Linked DNA regions of Caenorhabditis elegans. The protein of the gene in region 2 interacts with the protein of the main gene of each other region in a biochemical or structural test. Each region holds a gene or a part of one and is shown on either strand. Other genes may lie near its edges.

Evidence for each region.
Region 1: the proteins of wsp-1 (region 2) and arx-2 form a complex in vitro, tested with the Caenorhabditis elegans proteins (one study listed by BioGRID).
Region 3: the proteins of wsp-1 (region 2) and arx-1 form a complex in vitro, tested with the Caenorhabditis elegans proteins (one study listed by BioGRID).
Region 4: the proteins of wsp-1 (region 2) and arx-6 form a complex in vitro, tested with the Caenorhabditis elegans proteins (one study listed by BioGRID).

What each region holds. Positions count from the first base shown.
Region 1 is NC_003283.11:10,334,918-10,340,038, reverse strand, and holds arx-2 (Actin-related protein 2), read left to right. Parts: upstream 1-1,683; 5' UTR 1,684-1,688; coding exon 1,689-1,736; intron 1,737-1,788; coding exon 1,789-1,899; intron 1,900-1,942; coding exon 1,943-2,206; intron 2,207-2,252; coding exon 2,253-2,414; intron 2,415-2,511; coding exon 2,512-2,800; intron 2,801-2,849; coding exon 2,850-2,989; intron 2,990-4,089; coding exon 4,090-4,263; 3' UTR 4,264-4,576; downstream 4,577-5,121. Other genes in the region: K07C5.2 (NADP-dependent oxidoreductase domain-containing protein), read right to left, coding at 1-103, 152-282, 333-536.
Region 2 is NC_003282.8:8,188,366-8,195,058, forward strand, and holds wsp-1 (CRIB domain-containing protein), read right to left. Parts: upstream 4,831-6,693; 5' UTR 4,788-4,830; coding exon 3,728-4,787; intron 3,153-3,727; coding exon 3,006-3,152; intron 2,769-3,005; coding exon 2,660-2,768; intron 2,612-2,659; coding exon 2,342-2,611; intron 1,889-2,341; coding exon 1,693-1,888; intron 1,645-1,692; coding exon 1,381-1,644; intron 1,336-1,380; coding exon 1,213-1,335; intron 1,158-1,212; coding exon 981-1,157; 3' UTR 539-980; downstream 1-538. Other genes in the region: pct-1 (Cyclin-dependent kinase 17), read left to right, coding at 1-70.
Region 3 is NC_003279.8:2,890,667-2,895,283, reverse strand, and holds the start of arx-1 (Actin-related protein 3), read left to right. Parts: upstream 1-1,565; 5' UTR 1,566-1,570; coding exon 1,571-1,673; intron 1,674-1,727; coding exon 1,728-1,870; intron 1,871-2,540; coding exon 2,541-2,651; intron 2,652-3,816; coding exon 3,817-3,978; intron 3,979-4,022; coding exon of another isoform or gene 4,023-4,617. Other genes in the region: Y71F9AL.6 (Protein PBN1), read right to left, coding at 4,023-4,617. UniProt on the Caenorhabditis elegans protein: Functions as ATP-binding component of the Arp2/3 complex which is involved in regulation of actin polymerization and together with an activating nucleation-promoting factor (NPF) mediates the formation of branched actin networks.
Region 4 is NC_003281.10:4,876,955-4,880,153, reverse strand, and holds arx-6 (putative actin-related protein 2/3 complex subunit 4), read right to left. Parts: upstream 1,497-3,199; 5' UTR 1,492-1,496; coding exon 1,381-1,491; intron 1,241-1,380; coding exon 1,021-1,240; intron 976-1,020; coding exon 875-975; intron 830-874; coding exon 752-829; 3' UTR 511-751; downstream 1-510. Other genes in the region: C35D10.1 (ER membrane protein complex subunit 7 homolog), read right to left, coding at 1-80, 303-407; Protein tost-1, read left to right, coding at 1,844-1,982, 2,033-2,142, 2,258-2,437. UniProt on the Caenorhabditis elegans protein: Functions as actin-binding component of the Arp2/3 complex which is involved in regulation of actin polymerization and together with an activating nucleation-promoting factor (NPF) mediates the formation of branched actin networks.

The DNA.
Region 1 (5,121 bases), on a different chromosome or scaffold from region 2:
TGTCTGCCAAACAATTTTCCTTCTACTTTTGTTAATTTCGTAGTCATCATCGTTTCCAGTATCACGGTCACGTGGATAGTGAATTAAAAGAAGATCTACATAACTGAAAATAGAAATAATTCTGATGATAACTCAACAAATATTTTCCTACTCGGTTTGCAAAGTTGCAAGGGAATTGGCTAGTTGTTTCTCAGTTTCCTCCACAGTATTTTCATTGAGAGTACGAACTTTAGTAGTGATGAACACATCTTCACGTGTCAAGCCAAATTGTGGTAGATATTTCTAAAATTTTAGAGGTTTGAATAGTTTTTCAGAAATCAGTTTAAATTTACCTTCAGGGAATTACCAAGAAACGTTTCGTTTTTGTAGAGATTGGCTGTGTCAAATTGACGATATCCAGATTTCAGAGCGGCTTCAATAGAGACATCTAAATCTTGTTGAGTTTCAATTCGAGAGATTCCAAGACCAATTTTTGGCATTTCGTATCCATCGGAAAACTTGAATGCACCACCAACAACATTTGTGAAAACACTCATAGTCTGAAAATACATTTAAATGAGATAAAAGAATATAAAAATGGCAAGAAATGAAGAATAGAGGACATTAAATATAAATAAGAGATAGGTAGAGGAGGAGGGGGACAGTTCAACAAACAATGGAAGTTTCATTGAACAATTTTTGAAAGTTAAGATGTGATGTTTGTTGTAATTTACACTATTCAATGGTAATTCATAGACTTTGAACGAAGCGTTCGATCATTGAAACACTCTCTTTGCGAAGTTTGTATTTAGAGTTCAATAAGTTTACTAAACAGAGAAAAATTGAATTAACAGAAGAATGACGTTATATTGTGATCATTTCCAATCACGATAGGAACACTACCATATACACATGACCTATCCTAGTTGTTATGTTGTCTCTTCCCATTTTTCTTAAAATTAACTGAGAAATTAAAATTTTGGATGTGAGGAAGAGCCTTTATTATAAAAAGCCATGTTTCATGTGGAAATAATTCGGTACAATCCATATCGCAACTTATTTATTACAGATGTTGAAAATGTTTTTTTACATAAATATTCAGAAATTTCTACCAAAAACTAATCACACAAGTAAAAAAAATCATAAATATGGTAAACATGTAAATAAAAATAAATGTTATAAATAAAACTAATAAAATAATAAAAAAAACAAAGGTTCATGATTTAGATTTTTTAAATCTGTTTTTACACTACGATACTCTTGCTGCAAATCTGCTCCATCGACAACCAATTCCCTGCGTCTCCACTATAGACAGAACTGTCATGTTTTTATTTCAATAGAATTTCCTTATTTCTTTTCTGTATATTTTAATCTTATAATTGTTTTCGTATTCTATGAAGAACATAAAAATTCTCGCGAAATTGTAGAAACATTTTTCCATCGACTTCCGCGTATTTTGACGGCGATCTCCACTAAATATAGTCAGATTTACTTTCCAGAAACCCTCGTTCATTAAATTAAAATCTAAGTAATGTAAAATATTGCTTAAATGTTCGTACTTTGTTCTATTTTAAGCCAACTAAGACAGTGTCAAAACGAAATTTTTACCGGTTTCATCGATTGGCAAGCAAATTTGCTATTTATTTACTTTTCTTCTCTTTATGACTCATTCGAAACCCGCACAATCGATTTAACAATTTTCAGGCGAAATGGATTCGCAAGGGCGAAAGGTGATTGTCGTTGACAACGGAACAGGTGTAAGTTGCAAAATTTTATCCCATTTTATTTTCAAAAATTCTGTATTTGCAGTTCGTCAAATGCGGGTATGCAGGAACCAATTTCCCAGCTCATATATTCCCTTCAATGGTCGGTCGGCCAATCGTGAGATCGACACAAAGAGTTGGAAATATTGAAATTAAGGTAAAACTTTACACAGAAAGGTCTTATAACTGTTTTCTCACAGGATTTGATGGTTGGCGAGGAGTGCTCTCAGCTTCGTCAAATGCTTGATATCAATTATCCCATGGACAACGGAATTGTTAGAAACTGGGATGATATGGCGCATGTATGGGATCATACTTTTGGACCGGAAAAGTTGGATATCGACCCGAAAGAGTGTAAACTGCTGCTGACAGAACCACCACTCAATCCGAACAGCAATCGTGAGAAAATGTTTCAAGTTATGTTTGAGCAGTATGGATTCAATTCTATCTATGTGGCGGTTCAGGTAATAGTTAATCCTCATGATAAAATCATAATGATTATATTTTCAGGCTGTGCTCACTCTTTATGCTCAAGGTCTTTTGACAGGAGTTGTAGTTGACTCCGGAGATGGTGTTACCCACATCTGTCCTGTTTACGAAGGATTTGCTCTTCATCATTTGACAAGACGATTGGATATTGCAGGAAGAGATATTACCAAGTATCTTATCAAGGTAAGTTTTTAAATGTTACATATTAATTCAATTATTTTCCTGATTGCTATAGTGACAAAATATGGTTTATTAGAAACTAACATATATTTGTTTTCAGCTTCTTCTGCAACGTGGATACAACTTCAATCACTCTGCTGACTTTGAAACTGTTCGCCAAATGAAGGAAAAGCTTTGTTACATTGCATATGATGTTGAGCAAGAAGAACGTTTGGCACTAGAGACTACAGTTCTTTCTCAACAATACACTCTTCCTGATGGTCGTGTGATTCGTCTCGGAGGTGAACGATTCGAAGCTCCAGAAATTCTATTCCAACCACATCTGATTAATGTTGAAAAAGCTGGTCTCTCGGAACTTCTTTTCGGATGTATTCAAGCCAGTGATATAGGTATTTCAAAAATGAAATTGTGCATTTCCATTATAAATCCCTTTTATAGATACTCGCCTTGATTTCTACAAGCATATCGTACTTTCCGGTGGAACCACTATGTATCCAGGATTGCCCAGCCGTCTTGAGAAGGAACTGAAACAGCTGTATTTGGATCGCGTATTGCATGGAAATACTGACGCGTTCCAGGTAACGAATTTCCGAAAATTCGGCCACAAGGATATTGCCGGAATAATGTTGAGACTAGGCAATTGTCAAAATGCCGATCGCTGAGTTTTTCAAAATTCAGCAGTTGTCAAAGTTTCGAATTATCAAAAATAAATTCCAATTACCGAATAGAAAATTGAAAATATTCAGGTCGTTTTGAGTTATATTTCTTCATCAAAAACACATTTACTACAGTAGAAATTGATTTTTTTTGTTAATTTTTATAGTTATTTTTTCTAATAGTTTTGAACCCGGTAATTGCCGAAATTTTTTGTCGCCGAATTTCTAAATTTTCGAAAATTTTTATAACTCGAAAATTTCTGAAAATTTTTTATTTTCGCCCACTATGGCTGTCTTTTTTTTAATCAAAAAAAATCGATTAAAGATTAGTTTCAAAACAGTTGGTAGTAGAATTGAAATTTTTTCCACAAATAATTATCAATCAAAAAGTAAAAAGTTTTTTTGAAAAAAAAAAAACAATTTTTATGTAATGCCAATTTTTGAATGGGAAGTATTACGAAAGCACAAATTTCTGAAAATGCGTATCGCGAAATATATTTTACGCGCAAAATATCTCGTAGCGAACACTACAGTAATCCTTTGTATGACTACTATAGTTCTTGTGTAGATTCAAGAGCTCGATTAGCTGAGTTGAATCATTTATTTATTGATAGAACATTATTAAAGTTAAGAAAACAGATCAAAAAGAAATTCATTTTAAAAATCAAGCTCATTAAACTAGACAATGTTAAAGGATTACTGTAGTTTTCGCTATGAAATATTTTGCGCGTCAAATATGTTGCACTCTACGCATTCCCAGATATTTGTGTTCCTGTAGTAGTTTTACTTTTGGTTATTTGACCATTCCTTTTAAGAATGGCGCTTTTGGTCGTCAATGACGATTTGATGATGTGTTAACTAAATGCATTTGATTTCTTCGTGTGAGGTCTCCTAAAAGAACACTCACTCAACATCTTAGTTTTCCGCCCCATCACCCCAGTGTTTACTTACATCCTTCTTTAGTGGGCGTGGCTACGACCTTGAAAAAATTACCAGCAATGTTCCAATTTATTTATTTTCAGAAATTCAAAATCCGTATAGAAGCCCCACCAAGCCGTAAGCACATGGTTTTCCTTGGAGGAGCTGTTCTTGCAAATCTGATGAAGGATCGTGATCAAGATTTTTGGGTTTCAAAGAAAGAATATGAAGAGGGTGGTATTGCAAGATGTATGGCCAAACTTGGAATCAAAGCTTAAATATTGTGACTTTATTTTCGTGTTAACATGTTTAAAAGTGCTTTATGTTCATTTATCCCCGTTTCTCTGAATTCTCTTAAAATCCCCTACCTGTTAACTAATTTATTCTTTATAGGCATCCTATTCTCCCCCACTCTCATTCAAACGTTTATCTTTCAAACCAACAACCACCTGAATCCATCATTCTCTGTTGTAAATACATTTTCCACTTTGAATTCATTCACTTCTTCAACTTACTTTTGGTTTGAAATTGAATTGCGTCACCTCTTATTCCTTCTTCCATTTTTCCATTAAATGAAACCGAAATCATCCAGCAAAAGGGCATTAGAAAAAGAGACAAACGACGACATTGATGACCCGCATTTGATACACGGATACTCTACCACCTGATAACGGATAATTGTTATCTTCAGGCCCGTGTCCTCCTCTATTTCAACTACTTTCATCCGAAATACTCCTTTATTTGCGACATTCGGATTTTTTCTTTCCAACTCATTTATTAACTGATTCATATAATCACATTTAAATCTTTTCAATTCATTTATTTTAATTGGTTTCTCTTTCTTTCCAAAAGGTCCACATAAATCAGTGGTCGATGAAATCGTCAGAAGCGACCGGCACTTCTAAAATGGTGTCGTTTTAGTGTCCTTTCATCGCCTGACCAACCTATCAAACGGGGAGGTCTCGTCTGTGTTGAAGCCAAATTGGAACTTTTTATAGCTGCTTTACTCTCAGAATAGTTTAAACTTTTTTGTTTATTGAACCGTCGGTGAACCTATGTTTTTTGGATTTCGATTCTCGATCAGTTGTGAAAAAATGAAAATTATTATTTTTGAAGATACGAACTGAACTGGAAAT
Region 2 (6,693 bases):
CTCTCGTCGTCATCATCGTGGAACTCTTGTAAAAGATAAATATCGAATGCATTCGAGTCATCACACTTAGAAATAATTTTCTCAACAAAAAAAAACATATTTAGAATTAAATTTGTTTCTTTTTTCCCCATTTCATCTCAGATTGTGTTGCACTTTTACGGGTTCTTGTCAACCAATTCCGATTCGTTTCCTCCCAACCAAAATGTCCTTCCAATGCGGTCACTTATAGATCAAGATGTTTATGAAACATGTTTCCTAATAATTTATTGTGTAATATTTTCTCTTCATATCCCGAGACTCCATCATTCTTCTTAGAATTTTTCCCGTTGTTTCCCGTAACCAGTAATAGCGATTTTCAAATTTACATTTTCTGTTCATAAATCACACAAAAATCTACAAAAAATCATCTCATAATCTCAATTTGTTCCCAAAAAGCACACAGAACCATTTTTTTTGCTATTTATTTTAGCCGTTATTCTTATTGTACACCTGTGAATAAACAAGCTCTACCCGGAAAGCTTCTACTTCTCATCGAATTGGAAACAAAAATTATTTATGTGGATACCCAGAAAAATGATAATATGCAAAAAAATTATGAGCGTTTCTGCTGTAAGTCTAAAAAGGGACAATGGTTTTGGATGAGAGGGGAGCATCACAGAAAAATCTACGGGAGAAAAACAAGAAGACTGGTTGAGTTTTAAAAGTTTGTTGGTATTTCGGGTGTGTGGAAGGGGGCTTACGAAGAGAAATTCACACGGAATAGGCACTGATTTGGAGAAAAAAAAAAACTAAATGCACAAGTTTTACAAATTCGTCACTTTCAAAATGTATGATAATTTATCTTGGAAATTGACGATTCTGTAATTTTTCAAATCAAGAATTGTACTTGAGGGACTAAAATTACCCTGTTTCACACGGGATTTGCACAGAAAAAGGAAACGAAAAATGGAAGGAAAACAAGTTTAATGAGATAATTTAGTCTAATCTGACCATTCATTTTTGTCATCTTCATCGTCATCATCATCACTAGTATCATCTATTCCCATATTCATTCGACGTTCCTCAAGAGCCTTTGCTAGTGCTCCAGCCAATCCTCCCATTCCAGCGGCTCCAGAAGTCGTACTCTTTCGACGTTCTTGCTCAGCAGCTGCATCCACCTAAAGTTTAAAAAAATTGGAATCAATAGTAATTTTCGGTTAAAAATTGTCTTACATGTTTTAATTGTGCTCCTTGTCGAATTTGGGCCATCACATCTCCACGAGCATCACCACCAGCCGATTTTGGTGAATCTGCAGTTTGTTGAACGGATCGAAGTTGTTTTCCAGCTTGGATTTCCTGAATACAAAATTCAATAGTGAACATTTTTAAAAGTATACTAACCGCTAGCAAATTCGATCTTCCATCCTGAGCAGGTGGTAGTTTTGCGAGCACCGATGCAGGTCCTCCGGCTCCTGAAGGTGGTGGTGGAGGTGGAGGGGGTGGAGCTCCTGCTCCTACTGCTGGCAATCCCATCGGTGGTGGAGGAGGTGGTGGTGGAGGAGCTGCGGATGATATCGGAGCCATTCCAAATGATTGTGGTGGTGGAGGGGGTGGAGGTGGTGGAACCGCATGTGGTCGATTCTCTGGGGTTCCATAGTTGGGCGCCTGAATATAAATTAATTTTTTTCAGAAAATCACTCTCCGGTTACTTACTTGAGGTAAAGGTCTTGATGGTGCAATTCCACGGGTACCAGATGACGGTGGTGGAGGAGGTGGACGAGCTGGAGCCAATCCATGAGATTCGACACGTGTTGGAGGTGGAGGAGCGGCAGGTGTGGAATATGATGAAGCACCGCTTCCAATCGGAGCAGATGATGGGAATGATGGTTTGTATTGACGCACTGGTGTTCTGAAAATTTTTTTTTCATTTAAAAATAAAACTTTTTTGTTATCGTATTTCTAATATGGCTGAAATACGCCCTCACCAAATGCAACACTAATTTCATTTCTAATATTTCTAGTATTTATATTAAATATTTCATAATATTTCTGGTTCTCAGCTACAAAAAACAGTAGTCGTAAAATATATTCAAGGGTTAACTGTAACAGAAACATATTACTTTTAACTTTTTTTGTAAGTTTGCGGAAAAAAAACTACATCGAAAGCATTTCGGGGGAGAATAATTGGGATTGCGTTGCCATTACTCTTTTTCATGGTCCGACATCTACCGGGTTTCGACTCACACAGCGCATATGCATGTATCTTCACAGGGGCGAAACCCAGTAGATGTCGGACCATAATTAAATTTATTTTTTCTGGTTTGGAGTTATTTTTTTCCGAAATGAAAACAAAAAAACTAACTGATTCCATGACTGATTCATCTGTGGATGTTGCTGAATTGGTGGTGGAAGAGGTGATGAGATTTGTGATGGATCCAAACTTCCAACAGATACATATTTATCATAGTTCTTGGCAATGAATTTTTTCACGAATTTCTTATCATCCTCATTCAGATTATTGCTTTCCAATCCAGCAGCCTTTAGAATATTTTTAGTAGCTTCATCCATATCATCGTCGTAAACTGTATTCGAGAATCCACTATCCTGATTCCATCCAACATGAGCTTTATGTCTGAAATATTTAGTTTAATTTAAACCATTAAAACGGAATAAATCTCACTGAAAGTTTGTTGGATTAGAAATATCCTCTTTCTTAATTTTCGATTTTTTATCCTTCTTTTTGTTTTTATCTTTCCGGAACCATGATCCACTACTGCTAGCATTTCCATCTGTAAATATTGAAAATATTTAATTAAAATTAATGTTATTTTTTGAAGAGATTTCTCACCAAATTTATGTAACAATCTTTTCAATTTATTAATCATTAAAATATGAGCAAATTTTGCAAAGTATGCATAAGAAATGAGATATAAAATGTGATTTTTTTTAAGTTTACGTAATTTTATTCAGAAATTCAATTACTGACTACGAGAACATCATTTTTCAATTTCCAAAAAAATATTCACCTGTATGTGTATGTGATTGTGGTGCAGCAGCCATAGTTCCCATTTGTGTTATCCCTTGACCTCCGCCAATTGCCATTGGAGGTCCTCGAATTGTTCCTCCATAAGCCTGTGTGATTTCGAATTGTCGTGTTGGAGTGGATCCGATTCCTGAAATAATAAATTATTAAATATAGAAGTTCTCACTGTCAAGTGCTCTGTTCTTTTTCATTTCAATTCGATCACCCAATCAGTTAAAAATCATCTTTCTCTATTCTCCAGCATTTCTGCTCAACAATGATGTTCATGTGCTCTGAGCGCTTGAAGCCGATCAAGTACTCGGTCGGCGGTGCTCATAACATGACATGAACACAAATAATCGGTCCGAATTTCTCGCCATCCTGGGTTGGATGTTTGCTTTCCAAATTTGTGTGAAAAACTCTTATAGAACCAGATTCTGTCTATCAAATTGATCAACTCAAAGAAAAAACGATAATATGGAAAGATAGTGATCAAGTAAACAAAAATATTATGATAAAGTGCAAATACACATCATGAGTTCAACTTGTTGACACTTCCTATACTTTTAGAAGTTTCGAAAAACTAAATTCGTTTTTAAATTTTCAAGCTTCACAAGCTGTGTAATTTTTGGGAGATTTTAAAAGGTTTTAGAAACTATTGTAGAAGAGTAAAAATGATGAGGTGAAGATTCAGACATCAGAATATTTAAAGTCTGTAAAACAAACCATTAAGCGAAATTGATGTCGAACTAGAACTTTTCTTCACTAATCGATGCCTTGCAGGTGGATGAGATGGAATTGGTGGTGGAGTATCTGCTTCTACAGATGATGGTGTTGCACTGCTACTCTCTGTACTACTATCACTTCCTCCAGAACAGTAGATAGGTTCTTCTTTCTTTGTGACCATAACAGATACTTGACCATTTGATCGATGAACTAATACGGAATCAGAATGAGGTGCAGGATCAGGATTCATCGATACTGATTCATAATCGTCGTCTTCGTCACCGAAGTCATCCGTATTGAATACGTGTCGAGAACTCACATAGTCACCACGAGATACTGGTTCTTCTGGGATATGAAATCGTACCTTATTTCGAGAAAGTGGGGGTGAATAGTCTGGATCAGGACTCGGAGCTCTATGTCGACGAGGTTCTTGATGATGATGTGATGATCGATGACGAGGTCGGAATGCTAGCTGCTGTTGTTGCTGCTGATGATGTTGCTGTTGTAGTTGCTTTTGTTGATTGTGATAGTAATAGAATGCATCAGCAGATATTGGAACATAACATCTTGCATAGTTCTGACGCCTTGCATATGTACCTGTGGATCCTCCATACCTTGTTGAATATACTGGATCTTGGTATTCTGCAGATGAGCTTGTTGAGCTTGACGTGGAATCAGGACCTCCATAAGTCGAATAATCATTTACATTGTCATATTGTTCCATTTCATAATATCCTCCATTTGGTAGAGTATGACTCCGATGGGTAGTACGAGGTGAGGATCCCATAGAATCAGGGAAGCTAGAGCATCCTCCACGTGCAAAACGTTGCATATGGTTATGGTGAAGATGACCGCCAGTACCGGAAGAGGAAGTGGAGGATGGAAAGGACGAATAAATTTGAGCCGCCGACGAAACGGTTGACGGTTTATTGGACGACGGATTGGTTGTCGCAGACGGTGGCGGAGGGTGGGAAGGAGGAGGAAACGATTGAGCGACCGGCAGGTTGTGGTACTGATAGCGGAGGCGGCCGGCCGGATCCTCGCTTACCACCATCCACATGTTATTATTCTTCGAATGGCTACTACTTCTGATACTTCTGAAAGAAGGCGAAAAAGATCGTCGCAAATTATGGAGATGAAAGCGAGAGAAAAAAGAGTATATGGGAAATGTCGAAAGGTGACGTTTATGGAATCGAAAGCTGTGAGAATCGGAATTTTCAGGTCATAAAATGAAGGAATGGAACAAATTCACTTGAGATATCCGAGTGATGTGTGAAACAATTGAAAGGAGAGATGTATATAAGGGTTCCAAATTATACCTCTAGTTGACTTCGAAAATGGGCATTCCAAAAAATGTTGCATATTTACGCAAGCATAATTTGTAACATCCTATTCTTCAAAAAATCTTGCTGAAGTCTGATGAAAAGTGAATTTGGAAAAAAAAACGTTTGCATTTCTAAATCTTTTAAATTGCCATGACTTTCTGATTGGCGTACAAGCACTTAGTGATTCGAACGGATATTCAGAGAATCATAGAAACAGAACGAAATGAAAACCGTCATAATACACATCATTATTGTATACCGTTTCGCCTCTTCACACCGTTCGGCTTCTCTCCCTCTAATTTTCTCTCTCGCCCAATCGTTTCGATTCGGAATCAAATTACACAACACACTACCACAGTTTGGCGGCAGTGAGATGTGCATATTGACAGAGGAAACAGATGTAAATATTAATTGAATTCCTAACAACTATCTATTTCTATTCAAAAAATGATATTTTTTACATATTCCAAAAATTTTCCATGTAAGAAATGAATAGTAAAAGTGACCGAAATGATGGGGCGAAAACTGTGGGGAGGTGAACTGAAGCACTTCTCTTCTCACGAGAGTTAGGCGGAGTCAACACCGATGAGTATGTGTATGTGTGTATGTGCTGCCCTGAACCTCTAACGGAGAGAGTCTCAATATAGTTAAACATTAAAAAACTGAGAAATAATAAGATAATGTTTCTATTAGTTTGTGACTTAGGTGTCAATGTGTGGCTACCAGAAATACTTTGTAAGAAGTATCGTAATTTTTTTCTTGAGTTTACAGTACTTTTATAGTAAACGAGACACCGTTCTTAAGGGTGATCCTTCAAATTTAAAACAGCGGTAAGACTGAAAAAACTAAGATTTTACTTTTTTGTTTGAAAGCGTGTACTTCAACACAAAAATTATTCAATCATCGTTTGACTACTGTCACACCCGCTAACAACAACACGTAGGAACAGCTACACCTCTAGACGTCAATAATGACATTCGGAAAACGGAAGGAACAGCCAGTTTCACTTATTATTAAATAATTTCTACACTTTTTTCACATCTGCTTGTGTTCTGTTAACAGATTTTAAAGATATACTATGTTTCAAAAATAACCTGCGCCAAATACAAAACTATATACGAAAACCTAATTATAACTTCCTCTCAAGTGTCGACTTCTCAAAAATTAATGCATGAACATAATACAACCGCATAGGATTGCTGCAGAAGAAGAGATGGAGACTTGAAGCACTATTGTAAAAAAGAGAAGAAAATAAAAAGTATGAAAACCTTATAATTGAACCAGTGCTCGTTCTTTGTTCAGATTGAACATTGTAGAGCACAAGGCACGGGTAAGATCACGTAGATCTCCATTGAATCCTGTACTCGTCTTGTCCTACTCCTTGCTCTTTCAAGTGGCCCGCTTTTCACATGCGTCGATTGAAAGTGGCTCATGCTTTAGAGGAACACAAAACTGAGATTCATGATAGGTCAGAACAAATTTCTATTTTTTCAAATAGAATTTTATAGATTGTAAGCAATATAACTTCGAATCAAGTGACACATAATGACATATCGTATTGTAAGTTAGGAATACAGTAGACTACAGTAAGACCATTCCGAGATATCAGGTACGTTTTAATAAGTTTCAATTTCAACTTTT
Region 3 (4,617 bases), on a different chromosome or scaffold from region 2:
AGTAATTTACATGGAGAAATTTGCTCGAAAAAATTCAAAAAAAATACAGTAAGAAAATTGTCGTAAAGTCTAGGGTTTTGGTATTGCGGACTACGACAAAATGCACACAAACCATTTTGGCACCGGAAAAAGGCAAAAGCCAGGATTTTATCGCGTTTTGGCTCATTTTTCTTGCAAATTTCCATGGAATTCAGTTAACATATACCTAATTATTCAGTTATTTCGAATTAATCAATAATTTTCAGTGAATTTCGCAATTTCTAAGTGGTCCAATGATGTCTGTCCACATATTTCCTTGAAAACTGATTGTTTTATCGGAATTTATTGATTTAAAATAATATATATAATAAAATCTGAATTTTAGAATCATTTTTGACGTGGAAAAGACCCGAAAAATCCAAAAATCACGAATAAACTGAACAATTAAGGTATTAATTTTTGATCCCCCACCCCCAGTTTCTCAGTTTCTCAGCAAAGGATTAAAACAATTGTTCTTCTTCTTTTCCCCCTACAAGAATTTCCTGTGAATTTCAATCGTAAAAATATCGATTTTCTGTTTATTCTTTGGATGAGTCACCGCACTCGCCGATTGTTTAACTAGTGCAGTTCGGCAGTTTTACGTTATTTTTTCACGATTTTTTGGATTCTGATCCTCTAGGTGACTTGAAAATACCGAATTTCATATCGTAATATGACAGAAAAATTTATGGCGGTAAAAAAATGCGGAAAAATTTTCTAATTTTAACGGAAAACTCCAAAAAGCCGTTGGAAAATGATTTTTATTTGATATTGGCATATTTAAATAATTTTTATCCTGTTTTTTAGTGGATTTGGATATTTTAACCCGATAGTTATGTATAACGGCTTAAAAATTGCCAAAATCAGCGAAAAAACGCGAGAAAAATCACTTAAATATGGAAAATAGAACAATAATCAAATAAACCCGATTATCCAAGCCAAAACTGAGTTTTTTTTTTCGCATTTTTGAACTTCAAAATTTCGAAAAAATGGGCTATTTTTAACGAAAATCCCCAATTTTGCAATTTTTTCGTGTCACAGCCGTCGGAAATTGATTTTTATTTGATTTTTGACACATTTGAGTGATTTTATCCTTTTTTTTTCGTGGATTTAGGTACTTTTAGCCGATAGTTACGTATTGCTAAAATACTGGCTTAATAAGTAGCTAAATCGACGAAAAAATATGTTTTAAAAAACCAAAAATGGCAAAATTTTACGATTTTTGCTAAATCTTTTTTTTTTTTGAAATTTTAAATCGTCATAAAATTATTTAGCTAAATTTTTGTTAAACATTTCAGCGAAAAACTCCATTTTTGCCAATTTTTTGTGTCACAGCGGTTGAAAATTGCGTTAATTTAGGTATATTTGAAGCCAAAAAAGGAACAAAATTAATTTATTTGCAAAATTATCAATTTCCGGCTTAAAAACGCTCCAAGATTGGAGATTTCAGCGGAAATTAGCCCATTTTTTCGAATTTCTAAACCGCTAGACTGAAATTCCGTCTTTTTCTCCCATTTAAAACAAAAAAAATCCCAAATTTTTTGCAGCAAGCATGTCGGCCCATCAACTACCGGCATGTGTGATCGACAATGGAACGGGTTATACGAAGCTCGGATATGCTGGGAACACGGAACCTCAGTTTATTATTCCATCTGGTTAGATTTATTGATTTTCAGCCTATTTTTCATAAAATCCAGTGAATTTTCCAGCAATTGCCGTGAAGGACAAGGTGGCGAGCTCGAATTCGCAGGCGATGCGCTGGAATAACCGAGTCGGAGCCGGGATAGACGATCTTGATTTCTTTATTGGAGATGAAGCTTTGTCGCCGGCCGCTACGAATTATACTGTCAAAGTTCGTAGTTAATAGACCATATTTATGCTCCTGATGTCAAATATCAATGTGAAATTTTTTTTTTTAATTCCCAGATTTTATATAATTTTTTAAAATCCAAAAATCCTAATTTTAAATTTAAACGACAAAATTTTGCATGATAACCGTGCCGCAGGTGTGGATTTACGAGATTAATATTTTTAATTCATTTTTATTTAATTTTCACACCGATTTTCCCGTTTTTTCGTTGTTATACATTGAAATTCTTGGGATTTTCATAAATTTATTCATAAATTTACTTTTTATTAATGAAAACAAATTAAATTACAAGAAATATCGAACTTTTGCTGAAAAAATCGAATATTTCACGTATTTTTGTTGTTTTCATTAATAAAAAGTCATAAATTAATGGAAATCATGATAATTTTAATGTAAAACAAGGAAAAATCGGGAAAATCGGTGTGAAAATTAAATAAAAATGAATGAAAAATATTAGTCTCGTAAATCCACACATGCGGCACGGTTATCATGCAAAATTTGTCGTTTCTGAATTTAACATTTTGGACTTTTGGATTAAAAAAAATATAATTTTTTATAAAATCGGGAATTTTATTTTTTGAATTTTTCACATTGATATTAGGTATCAGGAGCATATGGAAAAAATGTTTAAAATTAAAATTAAATTTTTTAGTATCCAATTCGGCATGGAATCGTCGAAGACTGGGATCTTATGGAACGATACTGGGAGCAGTGCATTTTCAAATACTTGAGAGCCGAGCCAGAGGATCATTTCTTCCTTTTGGTACGGGAGAGAAGCAGAAAATTCGGGAAAAAATGCTCTGGAACAATATTTTGGCCACTTTTAAAAGAAAAGGGGGTCGAAAATCCGTTTTTTTAATAGAAAATATCCTGTAAAATGGATGTAAATCGGTGAAAAGCTATATATTACAGAAAAAACACGTGAAAAGTGATAAATTTCGATGAAAAAAGCTTAAAAATCACGAAATTTTGCAATTTTTGACTCTAAAATTACGGTATCCGGTCTTGACAGGACAATTTTTTTGGAAATAAAGCATGTGATACCAATTTAAAAAATACGTAAAAATTTTGAAAAAAACGGGAGAAAAATCAAGGAATTTCCCCCGAAAACTCCGGTATTTTTAAGCTTTATTAATTAAAATTAATTAAATGAAAAATCTACATTTTTTCAAAAAAATAGCAAAAAAAATTTTTTTTCGTATTAAAATCCTAATTTTATAGGAAAAGCTGTTTTTTTGAAGATATGGCTTTAATTTTCTATTTAAAAAATCGTTTTTTTTTTCTGGAAATTTACAAAATTTTGTTTCTAATTTTTTTTAAAGTAAGGGTCCCGCCACGATCTACCTGAGCTTCAACTTTCAGGCTTAAAGTTGGTGTAGTCGAATTTTTTTTTTGCTTTATTAGAATCAAAATTGTCTAAAAACACCGAATTTCATAATGAAACTTCTTGAAAAAAAACAGTTATGACGGTTCAAAAAATCGGCTAAAATTAGTTAAAATTTGAAATTTGGCCTTTTGAAATTACCGTCAAATTTTAGATATATAAGTTTATTATCGTGCGTTTTCAACTCGATTTAGGTATTTTAAAGTCGGTGGACTTGGAGATTTGGTAATAAAAATTTAAAAATCTCCAAGTCCACCGGCTTTAAAATACCTAAATCGAGTTGAAAACGCACAATAATCAACTTATATATCTAAAATTTGACGGTAATTTCAAAAGGCCAAATTTCAAATTTTAACTGTTTTAGGCCATTTTTTTGGAGCCGCCATAACTTTTTTTTTGAGAAGTTTTCAATTCATTATGAAATTCGGTGTTTTCAGACAATTTTTGAGTCTAATAAAGCAATTTTTTTTTTAAAAATCGACTACACCACCTTTAAATAGCGAATATTAGGCAGTTTTCCACGAAAAAATTTGAAAATTTCCAGACGGAACCACCACTCAACACTCCGGAAAACCGAGAATATACTGCTGAAATTATGTTCGAGTCGTTCAACGTGCCAGGCTTGTACATAGCCGTTCAGGCCGTCCTAGCGTTGACTGCCAGCTGGAATTCCAGAGAAGCCAACGAGCGAAGCTTGACTGGATTGGTAGGAAATTTTTTCGCTTTTGAGAAAAAAAAATTTTTATTATTTTATTTGTCACTTATTAAATAGCCAAAAATGCAAATTAATACCAGCAAAAACATGAAAAATATAATGAAAAACGACAATTTACACATTCCCGACAATGATGGATACTTGTTCCCGTCTACTTCGGCTTCTCCTGCAACTGCAAAAAAATCGAATTGCTCCTCACCATCAAGCGCTCCGAATCCCAAAATATCCTCATCGAAACTCGAAACCTCGCGGAGCAACACAGGCAGCTCTTGCAGCCAGAAACTTCCAGTTTTCCGTGGATCTTGCTCCAAATGCGTCAGAAATAGATGCCAAATTTGGCGGAATCTCTCCTTTTCGGCTTGTCGGCGGTTCGCATTTTCTAGCTGCTCATGATCTTCGGCTTCAGCGTGGAAAGCGGTTCTGAGTGCTTCTTCGTCGATTTTCGGGATGTACGCAGAAATTGCCATGTCGAGTAGAGAGTGTGGGAGACTGAGAGGGACAGGGAGAGATGACGTGGATTCTGGTGTACCGACGACGATCGATAATGTTTTCGAGGTACCTGTGTACCATCTGCCGTCTCTGCTAGCAATTGCATAACACGCAAGAAAAACGCCAAAAATAATGTATAAC
Region 4 (3,199 bases), on a different chromosome or scaffold from region 2:
CCCATATATTGGCCATGGTTCAAATGAATACGAGCACCTGCGGACCATTTTGCACAATTTCGAGTAGATGGAAGTGCGATCTGAAATTTTTTTTTTGAGGACTATGAAATATTTAATTTACAACGAATTTGTTGTTATTAGAATAGGAACCTAGAAGATAAAATTTTAAAAAATGTGAGAACTGGAAAAAGTATTCAGAAGCATATAAACGTTGTCTTAATTTATAATATGACTTCTCTATGAATATAGCCAAAATGATCGATATTTTTAATCCAAAAATCAAACATTTTTGGTATACGAACCTCGCCTTCGACGGAGAATAATGTCGATGTTTGCTCAGTTCTGCTCACTTCTTCTGTTGCACTGCCGAGCACTATCAGGGAGAATAAAAGTAGAATAGACTTCATTTCTGAAATTGATTTGTCAATTTCCAACTTAATAATCATTTTAAAATATTAAAGCTCGTAAATGTTTCACGAGATATTTCAGATCATACATATTGCAAAAATTGAATAAATAATTCATAAAGTCAGTGTGCGGTAAAAAAAATCGATAATCAAAAAGGCAAAATAGGACCTAAAACAGGAAATTTTTGGGAGGGGAGTCATTTTCAGAAACAAAAAGTGAAAAAATTGAGAATAAAGATGATATTTACACAAATTGATCAAAAAACCGTGTTCACATAATAGTTTAAAGTCTTCGGAATTTGAGTGAAAATGAGAAAAATGAATTGGGAATCATGGGGAGAAAATTAATTGAAACGCTTCAAAAATTCTTCAGCAGAAACACGGGCACGGGCGTTGAGAGACAGCTTCATCTCGGAAATTTCCTGGAAATTTATGGAATTTTTTAAAAATTAACTTAAAATGTTCACCTTATCAATTTCCTGCATAAAATGAAGCAAAAAGTCGACAAGTTTGTGCTTGAACATTGCTTCTGTGTGAGATGCTGTGATGAGGAACGAGATGTCATAACCTAAAATTATCGCTTTAATCTCTGAATATTAGTATTAATTCTGACCTGGCAGTGGCTTGCGACGGAGCACAAAGAAGTTATCGGCTCTTTGGCACATGAATCGAGTGAACTTGTGGCACAGAATCTTCTCGATTTCGTCGGATTGTTTGATGGCGATTGATATTCTGACAGAATTGACGGAGGGTTCGATGAGTACTCGTTCCTGTTTGTTTCGAGCAACAACAACTGGCGTCATGAGCAGTTCTTTCGATGTTTGAACTTCCACCTACAATTTTATTATAATATACAAATAGAATAATACATTTAAATAGTTTTTGAGCGAAAAACTATTGCAATTGGCGGCGGACTGATTTAAATTATTCAATCTTCACACTTTGCAAGTCATTTTACTGTTATAAATCTTACTTCTGGTTTGTTGTGTCTCTCGACCACCTGCGAACTGAATTGCTCAAGACAGAGAGCTGCCTGGAGCGTGTGACGCACGGCCTCCAGATATGGTTGGAGTGTTGCGCTCATTACCTGCAATGCGCATGCTTATTGATTTTTTTATTGACGAAACAGTTTGAGACATTATTTAGAAGTGAAAAAAGATTGCATGGAACAAAATAAAACATGAAATACCGGCGAAAATCGTAAAATTGGAGTCGATAATCCGAAAATGAATCATTATTTGCGTCGTTTTGAAAGTAATGCAAACACGCTCCGCTGCACTTTTTGTTTCGAGTAGCGCGCGAAGACAAATTTATCATCCATTCTTTTAAAAATTGTCAATTTTAAAATTAATTTTCTGATTTTCAATCATTCCACTTTCCCATTTTGCAAAATATTTTGCGTTTTCAGTAAAATTTAAAAATTTAAACCTTTCAGAATGACTACTGCCATCCAATATCAAGTTATTCCTTTAGCTGACCGTGAGCACAGCAACAAAGTGGCGTCGATTCTGGAAAACAAGTACAAAACTGCGACAAATAAACGAATCACATTGAATGAGCGCTTCGGAGTTCTCGGTAAATGTTTTCAAGCATTTTTGAATCATAATAACATAGTTGTCTTCCAGAAAAGGGGTACACTATTCAAGCCACTGAGCCAGAGACTGTCAAAAACGATTCTGATGTCTTCTTTGTCGTTCACGACCGGAACTTGAATTCGAAAAAGGAATTTGTGGAGGTAATTATTTAGACTATTCGAACTTTTAATCAAAGCACTGATATTAACACAACTCTTAATGTTTTCCTTAAAAAATGAAACTTTGAGATTTTATGAGAACCTGGTTATGTTTCAGAACTATCTCGCAAAAAATCCAATTGTCAATTCACCGGAGAAAGTTTTCGAAGAGGAGGACAAGGAGAATGCACCGACCAAGAAAGCTGTTTTGAAGCCGTCCTCTACTGATGAGAAGAAGCTCACCAGCTCGGATATCTACATTCAAGAAATCACCAGAAGCATTCTTCAATCCGTTTAATTTTTCCATAAATTGCAAAATTCATTTTCCAAAATTTATGTATTTTTCTCACAATTTTTGAGCAGCCCTTTTCTTCTTTAAGTGTTATAATTTCCCTCGTTTTCCCACACCCATGAACTTCAGTGCAAATTTTCATAATCTTATCCTACGATTTTCTGTGGTATTCCTTCGATAAGTAAATCGTTCAAAGTAAGTGCTTGTTTGATTTTCGTTTGAGCACGCAATAATTTCAAGATTGGCATAAAAAATAACTGAAATGGGAGCAGAAGTAATGGGAGAACGCTATGCTTCAATGCGGGATTTATTGCGCATTTGGTATTGAAACGAAAAGAGTAACATTTAAGTTCAAAGGACAGAGCATATGTGTGTAGGGGTCTCGCCGCGAGAAAAACATATTAAAAATAATCTTCTGTTAACGTAAGAAGACATTTAAACCAAGTATCTTTAATAAATACGATTCCCGCGGCGAGACCCTTTTGTATAAGCGCGTCTCCCTTGAAACTTGTAGAATTTTGCCAAAAATGCACAATAAGTGAATTTTCCAGTGGAATAGTGTCGGAATACAAAAGTGTTGAAAATCCTGATATGTAAACTACTACTACCGGAGCCGAAGCCGCGAGGAAGTCTACCTGAAAGTGAGAAAGAATCTAAAGATCCTCAGTCAATCCCCGAATGAATAATAACCGATCAAAAGAGCATGTGCTACGATCTGAACATCAGATAAAATTTGAAATTTCCTAGGGAAAAGACTGTTCTGAAATA